Linked DNA regions of Oryzias latipes. The protein of the gene in region 2 purifies or fractionates together with the protein of the main gene of each other region. This does not show direct contact. Links are inferred from orthologs where the notes say so. Each region holds a gene or a part of one and is shown on either strand. Other genes may lie near its edges.

Region 1 (4,498 bases), on a different chromosome or scaffold from region 2:
TTTGTAAACACTTTTTCAAATCAAGTCTTAAATTGGTTTAATTTAAAAAAAAGAAAAGCTGTGTGTCAGAGTAAAAGCAAAGAGTTGCATGTCTCAGTGTTCTGCTGCTGCTTTATGAGCTTTAGAGGGAAGCGTCCATATTTTTTAAAAGAATCGAAACACATGCAGCTTACTAGCAAGTCCTTTAAAACTTCAAGAGGTCATTGAATTAGGTTGTGAAAAAGATCTGTTACTTAAAGTTCTGTAAACAACTTCCCTTATTTCACCACTAACAGCTAGAAACCAAAAGAAAACAATGGTTATAATAACAATAAACTGTAATTATAAACACAGCTTTTCTAATAAAAGCATAAGTTTAGGTACAATGTCGTTAAAACCTACAATGAGTCAAAAGGACCAAAAAGTAAGGCTGAGGAGTCTGGGGTCAGTAAGCTGTTGTTTTTATTAGTGCTTTCGTTTTTAAAATAATCACAGACATGACCTAATCTGTTTTACTTCATGCTATGCATGATTATGTGAAATATTATGAGGCCCACCGTTTCACCCCAGGCCATTCCCTCTTGTGTATCGTTTGTTCTCAATTGCTTGCACAGCAGGTTAAACCATAGTTGCTGACCAGATGTATCCTTTCCCTTTTGTACTTTCCCTAACAACTAAAACCTCAACTTTTGGTACAAAACCACAACAACAACAAAATGGATGCAACAAACCCCAAATTTTCTAGAGATGCAATTTGAGTTTTCTTAAAAATGAAGAGGTGTGATGCAAAAAGCAGCAAATTGATAATTTCATTAATAGGTGGTCATGTAAAGGGTCTTGAATTAACTCCAATACTACATTGTTTTTCATTTGTATACAAGTAATGGTACGAGAAGATCAGGCTCATTCATCTATACCAACTGTAAAGAACACGCAACAAATATATTTATAAAAAAAACAAATTTAAATGGAAATGACTGATTATGGAGTGATACTAAAGGGATTACAATTTCAGAGTCCACCAACAGTTTGACTAAAAACAGTGGATTATGAAACATCATGATCCACTTTTTTGAATGAATAAACCATCAGCATGCTAAACTAAATATTGCAGCTAAATGTTACAGTATCTCCACACACTTAACATTTGTAGTAAAAGGGTGTTTTATTTTAAGTCACAAAAAACAACAGCTTAACCCTAAATCTTTTAATTTTGAGAGACGAAAAAGCTAATTTTGCATTATTTTTGCTAAAATAAGAAAGAAAAAAAACACGTCTTCATTCTCCCCCCAAACCTTTAAGAACATATTGTCTATCACGCTTCCCATGCACTTAACAGAATAGTGCAGTTATTTATTCAGGAAAATGTTGGCAAGCCTAACATGAACTACACCTATGTGACATAACACTGACCTGCATAAAGATTGCCGCCACTTTGTTAACTTCTAATGACAGCAGCTGATAGCAGGACCACTCCCTCAACTTGCTAGTAACATTGATAAAACTAAATTTGCTCATGATTTTAAGCTCATCTATGAACATTTACTGACAACTTTGATTTATGATTATTTTTACAGCTTTGACTTCAATCTCAAAATCTAAATTTTGAAAAACGCGAATTTCATTTAGTGGTTAACTATTTTTTAACCTTTGTCACTCGCAGCATGGCTGAGCAAAGTACAAACACACCTTGTGTGTAAGGTTGAGGTTCTGGAATATGTTGACACTGAAGTTAAGCAGCTGGAAGGTTCAACTTGTTCTACTAATAAAAACAAACAAACAAAAAAACATTCAGCTCAGTTACATCTCGGGAAAAAAAAATCGTAATATTTTTGGCAATATTAAAACTAACTTGGCTAGTAAAGCTAGAACTAATATAAGATAATACATCCAGGCCACAATTTAAAACTTAACATTAAAAAAGTGAGAGCTCTGGTATTAGCTTGATTGAAACTTTTAATTTAATTCAAACTAACATCAAGTAGCAGAGCTGACACTGAACTCAACTTACTTTCAATTATTCCTCCTCTCTTGTGTTATCATGCAGTTGACGGTGCGCAGGCCCGTAAAGAAAAGGTTTCCATCCAGATAACTAAACTGTAGATAAGCCAACAACCGTTACCCAGTCAGACAAAATTGGATTTTGCCTGTCACACCTATTAAGTTAACAAGCTAAAGGTTGGCTAGCAACCTAATATTAATACACGTTATGCAACTCTTAACGTATGAACGCCTTTAAAGAAGCCAAATAGGTACAACACCATTCAGCAATTATACAGAATACTATGGTGTCGCCAAGTCTTTATGTGAGACAAAAGTTAAAAACAAAAAAAAAAACACGTAACTAAAAGTAGCTGTCATTTTATGGCTAACATTAGCTAGCTAGCATATGGCTAATCGAAACAGTTTGTCTAAGTAAAGTCTAGGTAAACTATTAACTTGGGTCCACAAGACGGGAGCAAAGAAGCGGGCTAACTAATGCAAACCAAATAGAAATCTTCACGTCATATCGCTGACCCTCAGCAGAGTGAACACGAAGGTAACGTTACCTGACAGTTTCCCATACCAAGAAATCACTTGCTGCTCCTTGAATGTAACTGTTAGCTAGCTAGCTTCTGATGCTAGTTCGTGAATGCCATCTGACTGCTTTGTTGTGCGGCATTTAAAACGCGTGTTCTGCTGCGGGGGAGTGTTGAAGACACTCATCAAAAAGTCATATGGGCAAAACTGTTGGAGATGCAAACAAAACAATAAATAAATACCTAAATGAAGTGTGTACTAACCCTGTTGCAGCTTGAATGTACGAGGAGATGGCCGAATTTCCGCTTCCGTGCTTCCTTACAGGAAAGACCGCACCCCCTGTAGCTGTGTTTTCATCATGCCATGCTGGTATAACTCATGATTAATTCATATACTTTTCACACCAGTCACAATTCAAAACAGCCCAGAAACAAACATAAAAATGCATTTTTTAAATTTTATTTTGTTGCACAAACCTTGTATTAAAAATCATGCCGCATTTGAAGCTGTTTAGTCAAAGGAAAGAAAAGTAAACACGAAGTCCTCCATTGATTAAATAAATGTTCTTCTTCTATTGTTTGTTTTGTGCACGTGTACGAGAGCCCTGCCTTCATTTAGGTCAACTAAGAAGAGTGAATATAGAGGAGTCAATTAGAGACAAAAATAGCTAACAAATAGCAGTGCCTATTTTTGCAAAATTTTAGAAGCATAATAACCTTGGTTATCCATCAAACAGAGAAACTGAAAGCAGAGTATAAAAATCAAGAACTAACAAGGACAAATGGTAACAGAAACATCAGTTGAAACTTTCACTTCCTTTATTATTTATTTGTCTGTGTGCATGTTAATTTCTTTTTTTCTTTCTTTCTTTTTATTTTTACATAATTGAAAAAATGAATTGATTTAAATATCTTTTAAATTGTAACAGAGTACACCTTAAATATATTGATTATTTTTACTATGTGAGTATTTTGTTTATTTTTAAAAATGCAATGAATGATTTTGTCCACAAAGAGGCACCATTGGACTACCGTATGTCTTGATTTAAACGAAGCCACAAAAAGCCTGTGGCCCGTTAGTGGAGCCATAAAAACCAAACAAGAAAACAGTGTTGAAAGTTTAGTTCAGGATTTTTTTTTAATCCCTTTATTTAGAAAAATTGCAATTTTGTCATAATTTACTAGGAGACTATTTTTTTCTTTTTTTTTTAACTCACCAACAAGATGGCACTATTTTTATTTGTTGTACAGAAAAGACAATGTTTAATTGTGACTTTCAATCATCCCATTTCATGCTCTCTATGTCACATTTTCATCTTATTCAAAATCTACTAGGAAACTGATGCAGAGGACAATTTGCATTCTAAATCCTATTAGTAACTAAATGCCACTAATTCTAGCTCTTGTTACTTGATTAAACCAGTGGATGATGTCACCATCCTGTTTGTTTCTTCTTTGTGCTCATTAAACTTGTTTTTTCTGTTATTATTCTTATAGCAGTTCTTGGTACTAGTTGTTTTTTTTGTGTTTATTTTATTACAATTATATTATAGGTTTTAAGGAGAATGCATCATGTGCCTTAAGGACAAAAAAAACAACAAAGTTTTTGTTAAAGAAGTGAAAAGCTTCAGCAAATTTGACAGTGTAACAGAAGATGTTCCTTATGCAACTTCCCAGTAAGTGTCAGGAAAGCTCTACTAGATCCCTCATCTGAGCCTAGTTTCTATACACGCTGCTCCCCTGTGAGCGAGTATTTCTTTCACTTAGTATTGTGAGCTAAAGCTGTTGGCTCCTGATGTCAGCTTCATAGGAGAGATGAAAGCTGTGTTTCAGAGAGCAGAAACGGGTTGTCACAACAGAGGCCAACGGACCCCAGGGTGGAGGTACAAAGGCGGGAGCGCACACTGGTGATAAGCATAACAGTGGTGTGAGAAATCCAAGCAGTGACCGCTCGTTGTGATGGCAGCCAGTGTTTGTGTTGCATAACGCACAGCCGCCAG
Region 2 (4,573 bases):
TTGTATTTCTACAACCCACCTTCATGCCAAAGGCTTGCATTCTCGTGGCAACTTCCTTCCCGATTCTTCCAAGTCCAACTATTCCTAGAACTTTGCCATACAGCTCTGAACCCATGAACTGCAGTGAAGGGAATAAAGCACCCAAAATCCAAACAATGAGAACCCAAGTGTCAGATGTGATTATTAACCAGCGGATGAACAGTGGAACCATCCATGCAACAGCAATTGCTTTATGAGCCGAAGCAAACGAAGGGCTAGATGGAAAGCCTCTGTTTACCTTTTTACGGTCCCAGTTCCCTTCTTTCATTGACATTACAGCTTGAGGCACATTCCTAAAATTAAACAAAAAAATTCTGATTAACAATCCCCTTGCTAATAGCAGGTCTGCTTACCGATGGTAGAAGAAAGGTACAGTTTGTACCTTGAAAGGCTCATCAGCAGTGCACATGTCAGCTCAGCGGCACTAATTGTGTTACCGCTTGGTGTGCTGGGAAAAAACAGTGGAAAGTTACACTGGGCCCTTCACGGTGACCAGAATCAGTATTTAAAACTGGGGACTCACTTCATGACAATGATGCCCTTATGGGTAGCAGCATTTACGTCCACATTATCCACACCGGTCCCAGCTCTCCCGATGATCTTGAGATTATGAGCGGCACTGATGATGTCAGCTGTTACTTTTGTTGCAGATCTGACCACAAGGCCATCATAGAGCTAAAATGTAAAGAAGTGATCAAAAGGCAGATGAACAAAACAGCTGTGATGTATAAAAATTTTACCCCACTTTATTATGAAATCCACTTAAATCCTGAATGCTGTTCAACAACATGACCATAACAAAAACTGTTTATAATTTATTTTGTGCCTAGGACTAACTTCTGATTAGCCGACTATAATGAAAATGGTGTTTTTGGTGTTTTTAACATGTTCTTGTGGCATTTTTCTGATGATGGAGGACATGTATAAAGATAATTCAGCGTAAAACTGCATTTCTGAGTATTTCTTTATTCAAATCACTGTGAATTTGGAGCAGATGCTGCTTAAAAGGGGCTTATTTGTGACGTCGAAATATGCAAGGTGGGATCACTATTAAAATAGCTTAAAAGATGATCAGAGGAGGTCTTTTAAAAATTTAGCTCTGTTATTTTTTGATTAACCACTAAAAATATAATTCTTGCAATCAGAACTTCAACTTATTGATCCTTTATATTGCATTTTTTTTAAAAGGAAGAAAAAAAAGTTACTTGTGCATTTGTGTTACCACTGTATTTTGTGGTTTAGGAGCATTAGCACAACACATGAAAAGTAGCACACTACAAATTAGCAACAGACAGAATATTATGTGTGCATAAAACATGAACGAGTAAGCTATCTTTGCTGTAATGCTCTACAGTAACTTGTGATTGAAGAACTTTTTCCTTCAAAGTCCCTCTCCGATCAGAAAATCAAAAAACCTGTGACATTTTCTAGGACATACTTTCTGCAGAGCTGTAGTAGTTCATTAGAAATTTGCTTCTGAGCTGTGGGCGGGACTGTTGGCTTGGGAGTAAGCCGGCCCCCTTCCAATCTGTTTACATGCTTTCCCACTAGTTTACAGCCCCTCCCACCCTCAACAAAAAATTACTGGTGCAAAAAATTAGCTAGCAATATTGGAGCTATCCAGCTGTACAGTTTTGAGCCAGATGCCAGCTCAGACCAGGAAAACAAAGACGTTCATGGATCTCTTTGTCTGCAAGTGGATGCATTAGAATAGATCGGAACAGGGGGCTTGTGGCTTGCCTTGGTAGCGTCTGCATCGCAAATCTTTTTCGCGATTGCCTGATTCACAATTATTTGAATAAAGAAAGACTCAGAAAATGCTATTTTAGGCTTAAATTTCTCAAAGTTTGTCCTCCATCATGAGAAAATGCAGCAAGAACATGTTAAAATGCCAAAAACACGATTTACATCAGAGTGGATCTTTAACTATAGATGTTCAATAAATTTACAGCTTTATAGTCTTCTACCTACATTTTAAACTGAAATCTTATAAATGGTGCCCATGACTTCAATTTGGCCCAAGGACTCAAATCATGACGAATCCGGCCCTGGGAATCAGCTCCAATAACAACAGTCATTCAGATGGAGCAAATAAAAAAATAATTGAAAAAAAGTTCAGCAACTTTTCTTTTCTTTTATTAGATTGGATGTAATCTGATAAATTTTACAGTTCAAGGACACAGCTGGTTCGACGGGGGTGCGCAGAGGAATGCGTCTAAAGAAAAGTCAAAGATGAGTTGCATCAGCCTCCCGCTCTCCTATAGGGCGGAACTGAGCTGAGATCATCTGGGTAATCGGACTCCACGTGCAAAATCCAGCAAGCATGTCTCTACATGCATCCATTAAAGCACGTTATCGAGATAAAGGACGTACGCGCAGGAATACGGTGCGTGAGAGAAAAGTGCCCCGATGCCCTCGGAGCCTCCACAACAAAAGACCCGCTCTTACCCCAATCTCTGCAATCAATTCCTCTTTCTTCATGTTCTGCTTCTCCGTCACTAGGATGCCGTTTTCCTCCAGGATCGCCCTGCAGCGGGGATCGACACTTTCACTGATTAGCACGGATTTGATGGAGGTCGGGGCCATCTTGGGATTTTTCTCTGTGGGGTTGCGGATGCGGGGCAGCCGGTTAGGAGAGTTGGTGAACTGATGATGATGATGATGATGGGTCCTCTTCAGAGTTCCTCCCCCAAAACCCCTAGTCTTTTGAAACGGCTTTCTCCAAGCTGAAAGCATGCGTGGTCCCGCCTCCCGCACATCACCCGTTCAGGCGTGACTGGAGATGAATTCGAAGAGTCACTCTTTAGAGCTCTGCCAGCAGAAAACCCACTGAAAAAAAGCACCTCTTTTTGCAAAATGAAGAACCAAAACAGCTGCGATGGTTATAGTTTTATGTAGGAACTCATGAACTAGCGCAATAGTTGTAACCCAAGTGGCTTTTAATTTAAAAAAGGGCAAAAAAATGTAGGAAATACAATGGATAAAGGAGTGAAAACTGTGTGTACTGCTAATTGCTGGAGAGATTCTATAATGTAAGCACTAATATTGAATAAATAACTTTATTGGTGCTGAATTAACTGAAGAAGATGGGGAAAAAACAAAAACAAACAAAGAAAATCTGGTCTAAATAGCAGAGGATGCTACAACTTCCAAAGGTGCCAGAATAACGACATAATGGTGAAACAGGTAGAAAAAAAAAACAATATTGTTTTAAAAATGTTATAGATAATCATAAAAAAATCTTAAATTGTTTGAAAAAAATCTAAAAGGAAATAAATGTGTAAAATTGAAATTGGAAAAACAAAAAACTCAATAGCAATAGTTGCTTATGATAATTATTTAGTTAGTAATGCAAAAGCCAGGGGTTATATAAGTTTGCCCCCTCCCATTCCCTTTCACGCAATCAATTCAACTACTTTGGTCAAACCTAATTGTTTCTTTGTGTGATGCAAAAGAGCTAATGATTAAGAGTAATAAAAAAATTTTTTTATGTGGATGTATGCACATTTTCCAATCAATTTTATGACTAATTATCCCATATTTGATATATTTCTGCATAGATTTCAGTTGTTTGTTTTGTTTTTTGCTTTCTTTTGCTTTGATATATACACTGTATATGCCACAAGTAACTTTTTAAAGTGTTGACAAAAATAAGAACTATAAAGCCAAAAATCTACAGAATCGATAAAAGTCCAAATTATCTTTTTTGCAGAAAGTATTCTATCTTTCTTTTTTCAATTTGAGAACAAAGTTTCAACAAGGAATTTGTATCTTAAAAGGGACCATAAACTGAAAGTGCAAGTACAAATCTCCAGAAAGGGCAAAAAATTGAGACAAAACTTAGCGCCTCGTTTTCTATTTTCCTCTTTTACAATATTTAATGAGGGATACATATCTTATTTAGTCACTGTACCTTTAATCATGTGGTTTAAGCATGTAGCATTTCAAATGATAGTCAAAGATTTGTTACTGTGTAACGCCAGAACGAAGAGAGAAACCAAATTAAAAAGTATACTTCTTCAATTTGTCCAGAAAATCAGATCATGTGACGCTAGATTTAAGACACTGTTGATCTCCTGACTCATTAAACAGCATATGACAGGCTGTGTAATCTAATGTTGGCCTATAGGTCATTCAGCATATGTCTAACCACATCAATATTAATACAGGGATTTTTTTTGAATTTATAAAGTTTATGACCAATTTACATTTTTTTCTCTTTTTTTTTCAGTCAAACATTTATTATGGATTGCATTATTTACTTTATTTTAAAAACAACTTTAAGAAATGACACAAGTATTTTCATAGTTACTATTGGCTTAATTTATGATAGGAAAATGTGTGCTGTGTTAAAGTTTATTGTTATTATGATGTGACTGAGATTAAATAAAATTGTAGTCTATTGAAATAGAATTGAAGTCAGGTTTAATTTTCAGCCAAAATAAATAAATAAATAAAAAGAACGAGTCAAAGGCTGGACTACCCTTGTTTTTCTAACCTAAGTAAATAGACTCCTGTTCAGTTTAAAATGAAA

The links.
Region 1: the proteins of phgdh (region 2) and epsin-1 purify together in Homo sapiens (affinity purification with mass spectrometry; 3 studies listed by BioGRID and IntAct, with this or other methods). This does not show direct contact. The link is inferred for Oryzias latipes from reciprocal best matches to the Homo sapiens genes PHGDH and EPN1.

The regions. Positions count from the first base shown.
Region 1 is NC_019874.2:19,874,674-19,879,171, forward strand, and holds the start of epsin-1, read right to left. Parts: upstream 2,916-4,498; 5' UTR 2,763-2,915; intron 2,756-2,762; exon of another isoform or gene 2,529-2,755; intron 2,077-2,528; 5' UTR 1,991-2,076; intron 1,742-1,990; exon of another isoform or gene 1,669-1,741; intron 1-1,668. UniProt on the Homo sapiens protein: Binds to membranes enriched in phosphatidylinositol 4,5-bisphosphate (PtdIns(4,5)P2). Modifies membrane curvature and facilitates the formation of clathrin-coated invaginations. Regulates receptor-mediated endocytosis.
Region 2 is NC_019879.2:21,728,084-21,732,656, reverse strand, and holds the start of phgdh (D-3-phosphoglycerate dehydrogenase), read right to left. Parts: upstream 2,851-4,573; 5' UTR 2,776-2,850; coding exon 2,488-2,775; intron 715-2,487; coding exon 563-714; intron 488-562; coding exon 422-487; intron 333-421; coding exon 278-332; intron 119-277; coding exon 20-118; intron 1-19. UniProt on the Homo sapiens protein: Catalyzes the reversible oxidation of 3-phospho-D-glycerate to 3-phosphonooxypyruvate, the first step of the phosphorylated L-serine biosynthesis pathway.